2 linked regions of the Diceros bicornis minor genome follow. The protein of the gene in region 2 interacts with the protein of the main gene of each other region in a pairwise test. Links are inferred from orthologs where the notes say so. Each region holds a gene or a part of one and is shown on either strand. Other genes may lie near its edges.

Region 1 (7,704 bases), on a different chromosome or scaffold from region 2:
GAATGGGAAATTCTCAGAAAATGTGCTCATACTCAATCATAATAAGAGAAAAGCAAATTAAAACCACACTTGGATACATTTCCCATCTATCAGACTGGGAAAAAGGACACCCAGAATTTTGGCAGCTCACTGTTGGCAAGGCTATGGGAAGAGAGCACTCTGTTACATCAGTGGGCATGCAATATGGAACAACACCCCGGGACCATCTCCAGCCAAGCTGCATGTGCATTTCCTCTTTGCCCAAACAATCCCACTTTTAGGACTCTATCCCAAAGACATGCTGGGTGAAATACAAGTTGTGGGACCTTGTACAAAAAACAACTAGACCGTGTTCTTCAGAAGGTGAATGCCGGGAGGGTGGGGACTGTTTTAGATTACAAGAGACAACCAAATGCCATGCAGGGTCTTGATTGAATCGTGGATTTTTTAAAAAGTGTTTGAAAGTACATTATTGGGACAACTGGGGAAATTTGTATATTGGGGGATATTACTGTATCTTTGTTAAATTTCTTTGGTGGGAGAATGGCATTGTGGTTAGGTGGGAAAATGTTCTTGGAGGGTGTGTGTTGAAATATTAAGGGTGATATCTGCAGCTTACTTTCAGAGAGTTCAGGATGAGAGAGAATAAGGTAGAAGGGGCACGGATGGAAGCCAGACATCTCTGAATGTACATGGTTTCATACTTTTGACTGTGGAAACATCTATTTTTCATAATTTAAAAAAATGAGAAAAAGAAAGAAATCCCTAAAAATTCAAAACAAGCTGAAACAAATGAACCTAACTCTATATGAAGTTGGTGGCACAATTGTTTCAGATAAGAATTTTTTCAGATGATATTAACACACAATCCTTTCATTCGATGCCTCTAGTGGCACATATATCCTAAGAGAAAAAGAACTGCAATAAAATCTTAAACTGCATGCAGCAGTCTTGTTTGTAATAATATTGGTATTTTATTTTGATAAAAATATATAGTTTAAAATTGAGAGCTTACATTATATATTTTGAAATTATATATTAGACTAAAGCAAATAAGTGGTTTAGCTCGTGTTACTGGAGACCAATATTTTTAATGTAAATGAAAAGAGATACAGATACAAAATCAAAGAAGGAAACACCCTATAATCTTTCATTTGAATGAGAAATATCAGAATGAACTTATGGGTTTTTGTCTTTCTAAAAAATATATATTCCCCGGGGCTGGCCTGGTGGCATAGTGGTTAGGTTTGCGTGCTCAGATCCCAGGCATGGACTTAACGCGCTGCTCATCAAGCTATGCTGTGGTGGCATCCCATATATAAAGTAGAGGAAAATGGGCACAGATATTACCTCAGAGACAATCTTCCTCAAGCAAAAAGAGGAGGATTGACAACAGATGCTAGCTCAGGGCCAATCTTCCTCACCAAAAAAAATATATATATATATTTGCCTAGCTAAGTCCACAGAAAAGGTCTAGATAGAATGACAACCCAGTAACAATGAGTAACCCCAATGCCCAGATTGTGGTCTCTAAATACTACTTCTGACTAGAAGGAATCAGGGATCCTTGGGACAATAGCTGATTCCAGATCTAGGGCAGGACATGTGCAAAATGAGCATGGGGCATCTTGTGCCAGAAAGCTAGGAAGTCCCCCAAGACTACTGGGATTGAGTCAAAGGACTCAGGAGTCAATGTGAAGAGACTGCCACTGGCTAAATATGGGACATTTTGAGCAGCAATAAGAATGACAGCAATGATTTGAAGCACATAAATATGTTTGAAAATGTACATTTATATTGATACTTATACAAACATACCTCATTGGTCACCTTTGAAGGGTGCTAGGAACCAATTCACTATTTTGAAAAGTTTTTTTTCACAAAATAGGGAAAGAATCAAGCATGTTCTCTGTCTTGTACGTAAACAAGTAACCAAATTCCTGATGAGGAGGAAGTTATTTACAAAAGAATCACTAATAATTGCAGAGAGAATGATAAAATTTGAAAACTACTATTTTCCATACATTAATGAAGTAATGGATACAGATCATGATCAAGGGCTGCTAAAACTATTCATGGAAAGGTTGATTGGCCTTCTTCCAATGGATGGAACAGGATGACAAGGCTGATCAATTTTGGCATTGCCAAAGGAGGACAACTAGACATCAGGTGCTCCTGATGGGATATAATAGGATACAATGGGATATGTTACAACAGCACTACCTACAAAGTCTCCTTTCACCAAATTAAACGTAAATTGAATCCAGCTTCTAGCTGTCACTACAATATATAAGAAAGGGGGAGGGGCCAATGAGGAACAAGTGAAACAATGTAACTAAATCCAAAATGTGAGACATCCTATAGGACAATTGATCCAGTTTCTTCAACAAATAGAAGGCAAAAAAGGGGGCAGGGAGGAGAAAGAAAGGAAGGAAAGAGGGAGGGAGGGAGGGAGAAAGGAAGAAAAAGATAGGGGAAGGGAAATTTATAGATTAAAAAAGACTTAAGATTTTAAAGCTGGAACAATTTGAGGAACAAAATAACTAAAGTAGTATTGGATTATAACCCTAAGTATAAGATATCCATGAATCTATACTCATATAAATGACTTAATAATTAAATAAAGGGGTGAGAATAGGTAAATCCCCTGTGCAGAAGAATTCCAAATAATTTATGTAGATACTCCACTCTCAAGAAGGTGGAGCTTAACTCCTCACCCCTTAAGTGTGGGCTGTGCATAATGACTTCCTTCCAAAGAGCATGAAAAAGGAGTAAAACAAAAGTAACTTTATAGTGGAGAAACCTGACAAATGCTACCTTAGCCAGGAGATCAAAGTTAACATCAACAGTGGTAAGTCATGTTGATAGTATGTACCCTTGATATGATATGATGAGAATTGCACTTTACCTCTATAGTCTTCTCCCCAAAATATCCATAACCCCCAGTCTAATGATGAGAAAAACATCAGACAGATCCCGAATGAGGAACAGTCTACAAAATACCTGACCAGTACTCCTCAAAACTGTCAAATTCATGAAAAACAAGGAAAGTGTGAGAAATTGTCACAAGCAAGAGTAGCCTAAGGAAACATGACAACTAAATGTAATGTGGTATCCTGGATGGAGTGCTCAGACAGAAAAGAGAGAATAGGTAAACACTAAGGAAATCTGAATAATGTATGGTCTCTAGCTAATAATAATGTTGGGAAAAAAAAGGCTTCCTATTCTCTTATCACATCTCTAGCACAGAAGCAAACAAAAGCCAGTATTTAACAAGCATTCATTCATGCTGATTCAGACTGGGACCTCAAGAAACCAAGTCACCCAATAAAATTAAGCTTTAACAGGAAAAATAAAAACCGACCAACCAACCAAATGCAATGTGTGGACCTTATTTGGATCCTGATTTTACAATACCAGTACTATTGTATAAAGACATTTTTTTTTAATAATTTTATTTATTTTCCCCCAAAGCCCCAGTAGATAGCTGTAGTCATAGTTGCACATCCTTCTAGTTGCTGTATGTGGGACACAGCCTCAGCATGGCTGGAGAAGCAGTGCGTCGGTGCGTGCCCGGGATCTGAACCCCGGCCACCAGTAGCGGAGCGCGCAGACTTAACCACTAAGCCACGGGGGCCAGCCCTATAAAGACATTTTGAAGCAGGGAAAATTGAACACAGCCTGAGTGTTAGATGATACTAAGAAATTAATTTTCTTGGATGTAAAAATGCTGTTTTTGCTTTTAAATAGTCCTTATCTGTTAGAGAGACATCATGAAGCATTTATGGGTGAATTGATAGATGTCCGGAATTTGCTTTACTATACTCCAGCAAAAAAATAAAAATAAGTATAGATGAAACAAGAAGGGTAGAACATTAGTAATTGTTGAGAGGTACATGGAGGTTCGTTATATTATTCTCTCCACTATTGTATTTTTTTAAATACTCATAATAAAACATTTTGAGGACTACAAAACAAAGGAGGGGTCAGCTATGTCCCAAGAAAGAGCGCAGAGACCAAACCGACACACGTGACCTTCTGAGCTGACGCATTTGACTACTGTCTCTCGGCCTTTGCATGAACTATTCCTCCTACCCCGAGTCTCTCCCCCTATTTTCATCCAGCAAGTTTTGAGTTGTCACCTCCTCCAGGAAGCCTGGATAATGCGCCGCCTCTGAGCTTCCCACATCATGTCCCCGATCTTTCTGGGAGTTACTGTCTGGTAGCTGTCTGTCTGCCCCAGAGTGGAGCGCACGGCCCCCAACTGTCTCCCGCCTCGCCCAGCTCTGAGCTGATGAGCACTTCTGTGTGTTTTAAAACTCCCCGAACGGGCCTCGCGGTAGCACGGCAGTGGCCTCCGAACCTTCCTGAGCTCTCAAACGTCCGGGTTCCCCTTTAGAGACCGGGCCAATAGCCTGTACGGCACTCTTATTAGCCTAGGTTCCTCCTTGAAGGCGTGGCCGCCTTGCTTAGACGCACTCTCATAGCCCCAGGTTCTTCCATTGGCTCGTTTTTCCAGCACTCTGATTGGCCTATATTCTTCTCTGCGGGGGGCTCTCTGGATTCTCATTGGCCCGCTCTCCAAAGGCCCTCCCCCCGTTGGCGTATGATGTAGTGCTCCGGCGCCCTCGCTTTCGCCGCTACGTCATCCGCGGGCGTCCACCTTGACGAAGGCAGAGAGTAGACAGCGGAACCGGCGGAGGAGGCTGAGCCGAGGCGGTAGTAGCGGCGACAGCGACGGCAGCAGCGATGGCCGGGGCGGGGCCAGCCCCGGGGCTCCCGGGTGCGGGAGGACCTGTGGTCCCGGGCCCTGGCGCCGGCATCCCGGGCAAGAGCGGCGAGGAACGCTTGAAGGAAATGGAGGCGGAGATGGCCCTGTAAGGCCCGCGACAAGGCGCGATAAAAGCCGTCCCGGAGCCAGAGCCGCCGAGCCCTGGAGCTTCCAGGCCGCGATAGGCCCGACATCTGGCTCTGTCATGGGGAAATGGGTCCTTCCGGACTGTGGGGGCGGGAGTGAGAAGGAGAGGTTGGCGGGGCTGCAGGCGCATCGCGATGTACCCAGCGTTCCAGAATTGGTGCAGGGTCCTGAGCTGTGGTGTCTGTCCTGCTCCCCCAGGTTTGAGCAGGAAGTTCTGGGGGCTCCGGTAACCGGAATCCCGACTGCGGTGCCCACGGTCCCCACGGTAGAAGCGATGCAGGTCCCAGCAGCTCCTGTGATCCGCCCGATTATCGCGACCAACACATACCAGCAGGTACGGCCGAGCTAAGGCATGTAAGTCAGAGAGCACAAGGCTTCGAACACGGGAAGTGTTTGTACACGGAGAGCTGTTGACATGTTGGCTTGTTGATTAATTAGCGTGACAAATATTTTATGTGCCACGCACCGAAAATACAGTAATGACTAAGACAGACCATATTTCTGCCCTGTTGGTGCTTGTATTCTGGAGCATGTTGTCCCGTAGAACTTTCTGCAATGATGGAAATGTTCTGTGTCTATTTAAAAGTTACATTTAAGTTAAATAGTTACTCAGTCTCATTAGTCACGTTCAAGTGCTCAATAGCTAGCTGTATATCATTAGTGGAGAGAAACTACTTAAGAAAACAAGTAAATGAAACTTGTTCATTCTGTCGACAAATAATTATTGCCTTCTATGCACCAGGCACTCTTCTAGGTATTAGGCGTATAGCAAAGAACAAAACAGAAGAAAACAATCACTACCTTTCTGGAGTTTACGTTTTACTAGGGAGACACAGGTCAAAGTAAAGCAAGAAGAGCAGAGGTTTATCAGCGCCATCAGGGAAGCCTTTCTGAGGAGGTGATATTTAAGCAAAGATATAAAGGACATGATGGAACCATGGAGATATCTGGGGGAAGCGCATTCCCAGGAGAGAGAACTGCCAGTGCAAGGCCCATGAGGCAGGTGCATCCCTCACATGTGGAAGGAACAGCAGGGAGAACAGCATGGCTGGAGTGGAGTGAGCAAGGGGGAGAGTGGGAGGAGGTGAGGACAGAGAGGTGATAGAGACCAGATCTCGTAGGGCCTTGTGGACCACCATAAGGACCTTGGTTTTTACTCTGAGATGGGAAACTGTTGAAGGATTCTGAGTAGAGGGGTGATATGGTCCAACTCAGATGTTAATAGAGTCGCTCTGGCTGTGTTTGGAGAGCAGACTCTGGGGGCAAGAGCAGGATCAAGGAGACTGAGGAAGAGGCTACCATAATCTAGGCAAAAGATCTAGAGTGGTGGCATGGGAGGTGGAGAGGACAGGCTGGACATAATTTCAGGTACTGCTAAGTGCTTTGGAGAGATAAAGCAGGATGATGAGAGAAGTTTCTACTGGGAGGGACTAAGGACAGCTTTAGCTAGGGTGATCCCAAAAGCGTCCCTGAAAAGTGGCATTTTAGCTAAGACCTAAAGGTTGACAGCTAGCCAGCTCCACACAGAGTGCAAAGAATGAAAACCTGTGCCCTCCGAGGGTGAGTCAGCCAGGGCAGCGTGGGGACACTGAGTCAGGCCCCTCACCCAGCCTCCTCCCCAACAGGTCCAACAGACTCTGGAGGCCCGGGCAGCAGCTGCAGCCACTGTGGTTCCTCCCATGGTGGGTGGTCCTCCTTTTGTGGGCCCAGGTAAGTAAGGAGTGGTGGGGTGAGGGAGCCAGGGGATGAGGCGGGTGGTGAAAAGGGATGCCCGGACTCCTCCCACCGTCCTCATCTCTCCCCTCCCAACAGTTGGCTTTGGCCCTGGTGATCGGAGTCACCTGGACAGTCCAGAGGCTCGAGAAGCCATGTTCCTGCGGCGAGCAGGTAGGTCTGGGGCGAGGGAACTTCACATCTAACCAAGCACTCTTGTTTCGACTACTTCAGCCTCTTGCCTAGATCATTGCTGTAACTCACCCTCTTTATTTCATCCCCACCCTGATATTGTCATCTTCCTAAAGCACAAACCTGATCATGTACTTCATCAGTTTGGCTTTAGTGAGGCTTAACCTGGTCATTGCAAACCAACCTCCTTCCTGTCCCTCCTAGTCCCTACCCTTTGCCATGTTTCTCCATAGCACTTAATACCTTATAACAAGCTATACAGTTTACGTATTTGTTGTGGTTATCATCCTTTGTTTCCTTTATTTTTTTTTTTTTTGTGAGGAAGATCAGCCCTGAGCTAACATCCATACTAATCCTCTTTTTGCTGAGGAAGACCGTCTCTGAGCTAACATCTATTGCCAATCCTCCTCCTTTTTTTTTCCCGCCAAAGACCCAGCAGATAGTTGCCAAAGCCCCAGCAGATAGTTGCACGTCATAGTTGCACATCCTTCTAGTTGCTGTATGTGGGACGCAGCCTCAGCATGGCCAGAGAAGCGCTGCGCCGGTGCGCGCCCGGGGTCCGAACCCGGGCCACCAGTAGGGGAGGGCGCACACTTAACCGCTAAGCCACAGGGCTGGCCCCTTTGCTTCCTTTAAAACATAAGTTCCATGAGGGGCTGAAGTCTTGGTGCCTGCCCCATAGTAAGCATTACTTGCTCTCTGTTGATGGGATGAACAAACCATTGAGCAAGCGCCCAGCTCCTCACCTGGCAGTCAGGACCGTGCCTCTCCTGGCCCCTTGCAGAGAGAGAGATCCCCACGCACCCTAAACGTTGCTGGGGTGTGCCAGCAGTGCTCTTGTTGAGGGCCCTTCTCTCCCCTGCTGACTATCACCAACTTTAATCTTCCAAGATCTAGCAACC
Region 2 (7,726 bases):
CATGCCCAGGATTCGAACCTGCGAACCCTGGGCTCCCGAAGCGGAGCGCACAAACTTAAAACACTACGCCTCTGGGCCGGCCCCTCCACCTCCTTCTTCTGGACTCCGTGGCACAAGTCCTCTGCATACTTTGGCTCTAAATTATGCAATGCCTTGTGACATGCATCTACCCTGTGGTATCTCCTCTCCTCTTCCTCTGGAACTTACAAAAAAAATCACATATATATATACACACACACACACCTTTTTTAACTTTTCACCCTTTTGTCTGGCCACCTAGATTGTAAGCACCAAGTACCTTAAGGTCAGGGAACTTGACGTATTTTTTAGAAGGTAACTTAGAAATCATCCTGTACAAACTTTATTTTACAACTAAGGAAGCAGAAGCCCAAAAAGAAGGGATTTTCCCAGAAACATACAGCTAGTTGAAGGCAGGGGGCTAAATCAATGATGATTTGAATACCTGTGTGACATGGAGCGTTAGAACTGCGACAATGAGAATGCACAAAGTGAAAAATAAATAAAGATCCCCAAAAACACAGAGTGAAAAAAGGATTCTCTGTGGGATAGTTCTAAGTTGCCCATTTGTACCCAAAGGACCTAATCCACTCCTTCCTCTGCATACTCCAAAGTCCCCATACACTGCTCCATTTCCAAATAGTACTATCCTTAGCCAATTTGAAGGCAACCAGCAAATAATGGGCCCCAGGAGGAAAGAGGGGGGTAAGAGAGGCAGAGTCTCACTATTAACCATGATTGACAGAAACAATACATGAACACATAGATATATATGCACACGCCAAGCGGAACATGCTCACTAGCACCCACATCCACTCTTCTCTCCTTATCATCCAATGTTAACCCACCTCACCTGAAGTCTCCCCATATTCTCTCTCTTTTCTCCATGGCCCTGAGTTTTACTTCTCACAATCCCTCTGTCTGACAGAGTTCTAATGGAGAACAAAAGCAGGCCAACAAAACAAAAGAATTCAAAAATAAACACCAAGAGGGTCACTTTACCCAAATCAACACAAGTAACAGAGTGGCCTCTGCCAGGAGACCAAGAAGAACACAGCAAACATGCCAGGCTTCCATAGAGCTCCCTCTCTAACACAGGAAGTCAGGCAGAGCCTTCCAGAGCAGGGAGCAGAGCACAGGAAGTCTTTTAGCGCTGCAGAGATTTCCAAGAGCGGTGTAATGGAGAGAGCACAGGAGTAGGAATTAGAAGACTCGGCTTCTAGTTCTAGTTTTACTACCAGCTCACTGGGTAGTCTTTGGCAAGTCACTAGTCTTCTCTGGACTTTGCATTCCCCCTCTAAAAAAGGAGGTGGTTAAAACATTTGGGGACTTGAATCCCCTCCAAAAACAAACCAAAAAGATGATGACAACTCTTGCCTTTCCCCCACCAAAAAGTGCACGTAAACTATTTTTGCACAAGAATCTTCCAAGTCTATCCAGGCTAAGAACCCCTGGAAAAGATGAGGTCTCTGGTCTCTTCTGTCTCTAACATTCTCTGATTTGAAGAATTAGGCAGATGTCTACACAATTGCTGGTAGGTGAGCCCCACCACTTCATAGCAAGTATTTTCTGAACAGAGATCAAATCCTAAAATCTACAAAGGTTTCACGCTCTTCCTCAAACTACAAAGTCAACTGACATCATAACTCCGTTTCCCATTCCCTGCCCAATCAACCAGATCATGCTTGGGTTCACGACTCAGAATCCAGTCCTCTAACAGCCCTATAAATTTTCTTTTACACCCCAGGACATTAAAGAGCTGGGCTAAGATACAACTGGCACAGTACAGGAGGGGCATGTTCTGTGTCTCTCTTCAGACTCATTAGCAGGCTCCATAAAGTTAATGAGACCGAGCACCACGGTGTCCCCACAGCACTACCCAACTCCTTGTACTTCCCACCCTCCTCTGTAACTAATTTAACCCACAATCTAAGCCACATCCCCTTTGGGCTCTCGAGGAGTTTTCTCGCTTTCCACGCCTCTCCTTTATATGCCGCTCCTTCCCCATGCCAGCGGGTGTCGAGAGTGCCAAAGGTACTCCTCCTTCTTGGGAGGTTTCCCACCACTGTCCCCCCGTCCTCCACTCAGTCCCGCGCCTCTCTGGGCAACAGACCCAGGATCTCCCGGCTTCCACTCCCCGCCAAGTAACCCAGGAAGGGTTGGGACAAATGGAATCCATCTCAACCATGTTCGATTTCCCCCCAAAACCCAGTCACGCGTCGTGCCCCTCGTCCTCTCTGGAATCAGGACCCTGGCGGGCACACCGGGGTCCCTGCACCCTCTGCCTCCACGCCGGAGGGCGCCCCACCTCCCAACCAGGCCCCGACCCGCCCCTCCCACCTCCGAGCCGGGACCCCGGGAAGCCCGCCCCCGTCCAGCCCCGGAGCCCCGCGCCACCCTCACGGCCCCGGCCGCACCCCCGCGGTCACCTGCATCCCGCCGCCGCCGTCGGCCGCCGCCTCCTCGGTGCGCGGCCGCTTGCTCAGGCCGGGCTCGGCTCCGTCTCCTCCCGCTCCGGGCGCCGGCAGCTCCAGCTCCGACTCCCGCTTCATCCCCCGGGCAGCGGCGCCGGGCCCGAGCTGAGGCGGCTGCTGCGGCTGGGCGCCTTCCGCCATCCGCCCGCGCCCCCCTCGCCTCCGGGAGCCGGGCGACCCGCGACAGGCCACCTCCCCCTGGGCCTCGGCCCCGACTGTCGCGACAGGCGGCCGCGCGCCTGCCCCCGCCCCCGCCTGCGTGCGTGCGTGCGCGCGCGCGCGGGCCCGGCGCCCCTCCGCGCTCGGCGGTCGCCGCTCGTCGCTCGCCGGCTCCTCGGCTCCGGGCCGCCGGCGGGTCGCGACGGGCTCTCGCTCGCGCCCCACGCGCACACGCGGCCCCCGGCCCGCCCGCCGCGCGCCCCGCCTCTCGCCCTCACGGAGCCCGCCCGCCCGCGCTGGCTCCCTCACACCGGCCCTCACCCCACGCCGGCCGAGGGAGGAAGGGGGCGGTCCCGCTCCCGAGGCGTGGGGAGGGGTGTTGATGTGGGGGGAGGAGGGGCCCGAGGCAGGACCGAGCTGACTGGCCGGGATCCTCCGACCCGCCACTCTGGCAGCACCGGGAAGGCGGGGAGAGAGAAAGGACGAGGGAGGGACCGGGATCTGGGACTCCAGCCCGCGCCGGAGGCGGTGGCGGGGCGGGAGGGGGAGTGAGGGGGCGGGGCCAGCGCCCCTCGGCCATCTCCGCCGCCTCCGCTCCGGGCGCCCGAAAGAGGCCGGGAAGAGATCGGGAGAGTTCGGGAATCTCCGGCACGGGCGACGGATTGTCTTGGAGGCCTGGCGCCGCCGGAGTTCCAGCCAGCGCGGAGGGGGCGGGGTCTGTTTCCTTTAAGGGCGGGGCCGCAGCCTGCGGCGGGCGGAGCTTGAGAGGCCTGAGGGCAGGGTGGCAGAGTTGTACGGAGTTCAAGGGCCACGTTGGTTTCAGGCGAAGGAAGAGGCTCTCTGTGGGAGGGAACTCTGCCTGTTCCTTCTCCCGCAGAAGAATGGGGATCTCCGGTTGGAAGGTCCAGGAATGAAGCCACCACTACATGGCTCTCCTCATTTCTGAAAGCTTTTACTCTAATCATAATTATTATTATCATCACATTCCTGATCATCTTAATAATACCTGATGTTTGTAGGAGCTTTACGGTTTACACAGTGCGTTCACAGACCCGTTTTGAAGCTGATGGTATAGATACCAGGGTCTCCGTTTCACTAATGATGTACCTGAAGCTTAGTTAAGTCCGGCAGCTGAAAAGTGGCAGATCCAGATCTCAGGACACCAGATCATATTCTTTTTCTCTACATCTTGCTGCCTGTACAGCTTATCAACTTCATGCAAGTAGAGATGTTCGTGTAATAGCTTCTGTCTCCTACCAGACTGTAAGGACCAAGAGGGCATCTGTTTTCTCTGGGTTCCGCATTGTTCCCTGTACTTTATAGGGAGATATGATGTTGCATGAGCCACTTGGGTTCTACTAACTAGCTTACACGAGTTACTTCATCTCTTTGAACCCCTGCTGCATCATTTGAAAAATGAGGAGATGGTTCAGATCAGTGGTTCACTACCAGGGATGATTTTGCCCCCTTCCCTCTCCCTCTCCCCCCAAAAATGTCTCCAGGCTGGAGGTTGCTGCCAGCATCTAGTGGGTAGAGGCCAGAAATGTTGTTCACTAGCCTGTGATGAACAGGGCAGTCCCCACAACAGTTATCCAGCCCCAAATGTCAATAGTGCTGAGGTTGAGAAACCCTGGGTTAGATGATTTCTAGGGCCATTTCCAGATGGGTCAACAATTTGTCTTTTGAACTTGGATTTAACCTGACTGGTGCTGGAACAGTACAGTGGTAAAGATCCCTGCTTTGGAGTCAGACCAAGCCAGGTTTGAATCCAAGCTTTACCACCTGCTATGTGATGTTGGACCAGTGATGAGTTAGGAATTTCTATATAGAAGGGGTTTAGGGCCTGCAGGCTAGTTGGAAAGGAAGACAAGAGGATTTGTCTTGAAGCTGAGTTTTCATAGTGAGCACGCTGTTTTTACCTAGGCTGTGTTATAGATCAATAAAAATAGCCAAGTTTTAGCTCTGCCGCTTACAAGTCATGGTGCCTTGTGAAAGCTACTTAGCCTCTCTATGCCTCAGTTTCTTCATCTGAAAATTAGGATAATAATAGTACTTTCCTGAAAGGATTGTTTGAGGATATCTAAGAATATCATTATCACTACTATTGGGTTTTTGAATTACATAAGGTGGCTTCTGTGGGGCTGCTAGAGATTAGGATGGGCAGACAAAGCTCCCCAAGTCACCCTTTGCTGCAACCACTATGTGGGGCAAATCATTTATTTTCACTAAGCCTTATATTCCTTGTCGGTAAGATGACAATAATAGTCACAGTATTGTTCTAAGGATTAAATGGGACAAAATAAAGCGCTTAGCACAGCACCTAACATATAGTAACTGCTTAATAAGTGGTAAATATTTATCATCTAATGTGTTTAATGATAGTAAGCTACTGGTTAGGGGGCAATGCAGTGGAAAGAGAAGCCCAGGCATCTCTTAATCTGCTGTTTGGGCCAGTAAGTTGGAAGTCCAAGTGCCTGCAAGCTTGTTCTTCAGCTGAATTAGGCAGCCCCAGCTGAAGTCAGGAGTCCCTGTGGGCAGTACCCCACAGCAGATGGGCTTGATTCTGTCCAACCAAGCATCATGGCTTTGAAGAAAAATCAGGATTTTCCAGGTGGCCTACAGAACAACAATGACTTTTTTTTTTAACCTAAGGACATCAGTGGTTGGTTTTCTAAAAATTTTACATTCCAAACTAGTGTCTTAAGAATTCTCCTCTCCTCCCTACCTGCCTTGCCAAAATACTGGAATCCAACTGGTCCTTTTTGGGCTGCTCCATGACCCAGCAAGAGATGATATTTGGGGTCGGGACTGCTTGTGACTCAAATTATTGTTACTCAAGTAGCACACATGTCCCTAAGAAATAGAGCGATGGGATATAGCAATGTTTGAATGACCAGGCAGAACAAAGAAAAACTGGACCCTGCCCTGTAAACAAGCTTTAAGCACTTAGGGAGAGAGAGCATAGAAGCCTATGAATAGTAGAAGAGGCCAAATGTGCCCATGGCACAAAGATCAGGGTCATTGCTTTCACATACTTCTGCAGCTACCTGTTTGGGAACAGGTGGTTATAAAACATCACAGAGGAGGAGGACAATTGAATATTTTCCTAGAAAGAATTTTTAGCTACAGAAACTACTGAAGTCCTAACATTTATTCATTTCTCCATTTGACAAACCATGGGCACCAGTCTGGGGTACCAAGGTGAATAAAATTGATTCCTAGCACCGAGAAGCTCACAGTCTAGGGAAGGGATGATCAAATAAAAAGACAATTGTAATGCATCATGATCAGGAGGTCATCTCTCTTAGTGGACAGGAGCATGGAATCTGGTGTCAAGTAGACATGGTTTTGAGTCTAACTTGGCCATCTGTCTGACCTTGGACAAGATCATTAGCATTCTAAGGCCCAGTTTCTTCATTTGTGTGACAAGCACTGGTAGTTCCCAATGTAGTATCCATTCTCCTCTAATTCCTTACTAGCAGAACCCCAATTTTGTTCAGGGCACAAATCTGCCCAGCTTTAATAAGAGGGAAAAAAAAAAGAATTCTCGGGCTCCCTGGCAGCTAAGGGTGGCTATGTAACCCCATTCTGGCCAGTGAGATGTAGGTAGGGGACAGCATTCCTTCCCAACTAGTAAGACAAAACCACAAGAAGAAAAGGCACTCTGCCCTTCATCCTTTGCCCTTTGTCTCTAGCCTTCCTCCCTCCTGGAACACAGATTGGGAAAACAGCAGACGTCTTGTGTCCACAGTAACAAAAGCTACGTTCTAGGAATGGTATTGTGGAGCCACCATACCAGCCCTAGCCCGTCTACCTCTAATGTATTGTTATTTGAGCAAAATAAGTTCCCATTTGGTGAAGCCTCTGTGGACAGGTTTCTACATGCAGCCAAACTCAACTCCTGCCTGATACAATCTGTAAACCGAGGATTATCATAGTATGGCCCCTGGGGTTCTTCTGAGCGTTGAATAATGCATGCAAAGCACTTAGCATGACACCTGGCTCATAGACACACTCAATAAATGGTAACTTAGACCTTTTTACTACTATTATTACTCCTATTATGTTTATTAATATGACTATTCTATGTGCCACAAGCTATAGGAGCTATAGGAAGATGGAGCTCCCCGTGCCGGAGGGAGACAGGACAAGCTTCACCCAGAATGTTATGTTTGATCTGGGTCTTTAAAAATGAGGGGGAGTTTCCCAGGATATGGTTTCTGATAAAAAGTGAGCAAGTTCTTGTGTGCCTGCGAGGGCTTAGGAGGAGTTCAGCACTGTTCACCAGGAGAAACCCCGATAAAGACCCCTAGCACGGGGTTTGGAGTCAGGACCAGCTGTGGTCCCCAAACTGAGACTGAGAGGTGAGTGGGTGCTGGAGCACCTAGCCACAGGGCTATTATGGGACCTTAGGAGATAATAGATCTTATGACAGATCTAGTCAAAAGCCAGTCATTGTTAACCCAGTACTCTGGTTACCAGCAGCCATCAGACAAGCTGGTGGTACAAATCTTTGTATCTATAAGCTCTTTGAGAAAATGAGCACTTTCTTAATCCCTTACTCAATTTCTGTTTCCCTAACATTGCGAACAGAGCTTGACACAAAATATGTGGCTATTCCAACAATCCTGAAAATATTCAAAAAGTCAACCCTATATCTCTCATGGCCCCTGGAAGAACAGATAAAGACCCAGAGCAGAGCAGATGATCTTAGAAATGCTATCTTAACCATGCCCTCTTCTAAATAAAGAAGAGTGCATTCAGGGCCTGAGTCCTTCCCCCAAATGTATCATCTCTCTAATCAGCGAGAGAAGAGCAGATATAAATAGAAGAGAGCATTTTCTACTCCAAAGCTTTCTTTTCCCAAAAAAGAAAGGCGGAGAATACCCTTGATAATTCATCGGCCAGAGGAAGTGGAAGCCACTCCTGCCATGTGGCTGGCTGATCCAGGAGCAGATACAGAGCCCCATGAGAAACTGAGTTCAGCCAAAGAGGACCCTGTGATGTTTAAGCCTCATTAGGACTATAAAGCCAGCTGCTCTGACACAAACCCCGCTATTGACTTTGACCTCTCT

What was found. The genes of interacting proteins can lie anywhere in the genome.
Region 1: the proteins of RBFOX2 (region 2) and RBM42 interact in a two-hybrid assay, tested with the Homo sapiens proteins (2 studies listed by BioGRID and IntAct). The link is inferred for Diceros bicornis minor from reciprocal best matches to the Homo sapiens genes RBFOX2 and RBM42.

What each region holds. Positions count from the first base shown.
Region 1 is NC_080773.1:8,933,621-8,941,324, reverse strand, and holds the start of RBM42 (RNA-binding protein 42), read left to right. Parts: upstream 1-4,635; 5' UTR 4,636-4,728; coding exon 4,729-4,856; intron 4,857-5,095; coding exon 5,096-5,231; intron 5,232-6,522; coding exon 6,523-6,607; intron 6,608-6,709; coding exon 6,710-6,784; intron 6,785-7,704. UniProt on the Homo sapiens protein: Binds (via the RRM domain) to the 3'-untranslated region (UTR) of CDKN1A mRNA.
Region 2 is NC_080764.1:13,676,316-13,684,041, reverse strand, and holds the start of RBFOX2 (RNA binding protein fox-1 homolog 2), read right to left. Parts: upstream 3,084-7,726; 5' UTR 2,634-3,083; coding exon 2,448-2,633; intron 1-2,447. UniProt on the Homo sapiens protein: RNA-binding protein that regulates alternative splicing events by binding to 5'-UGCAUGU-3' elements. Prevents binding of U2AF2 to the 3'-splice site.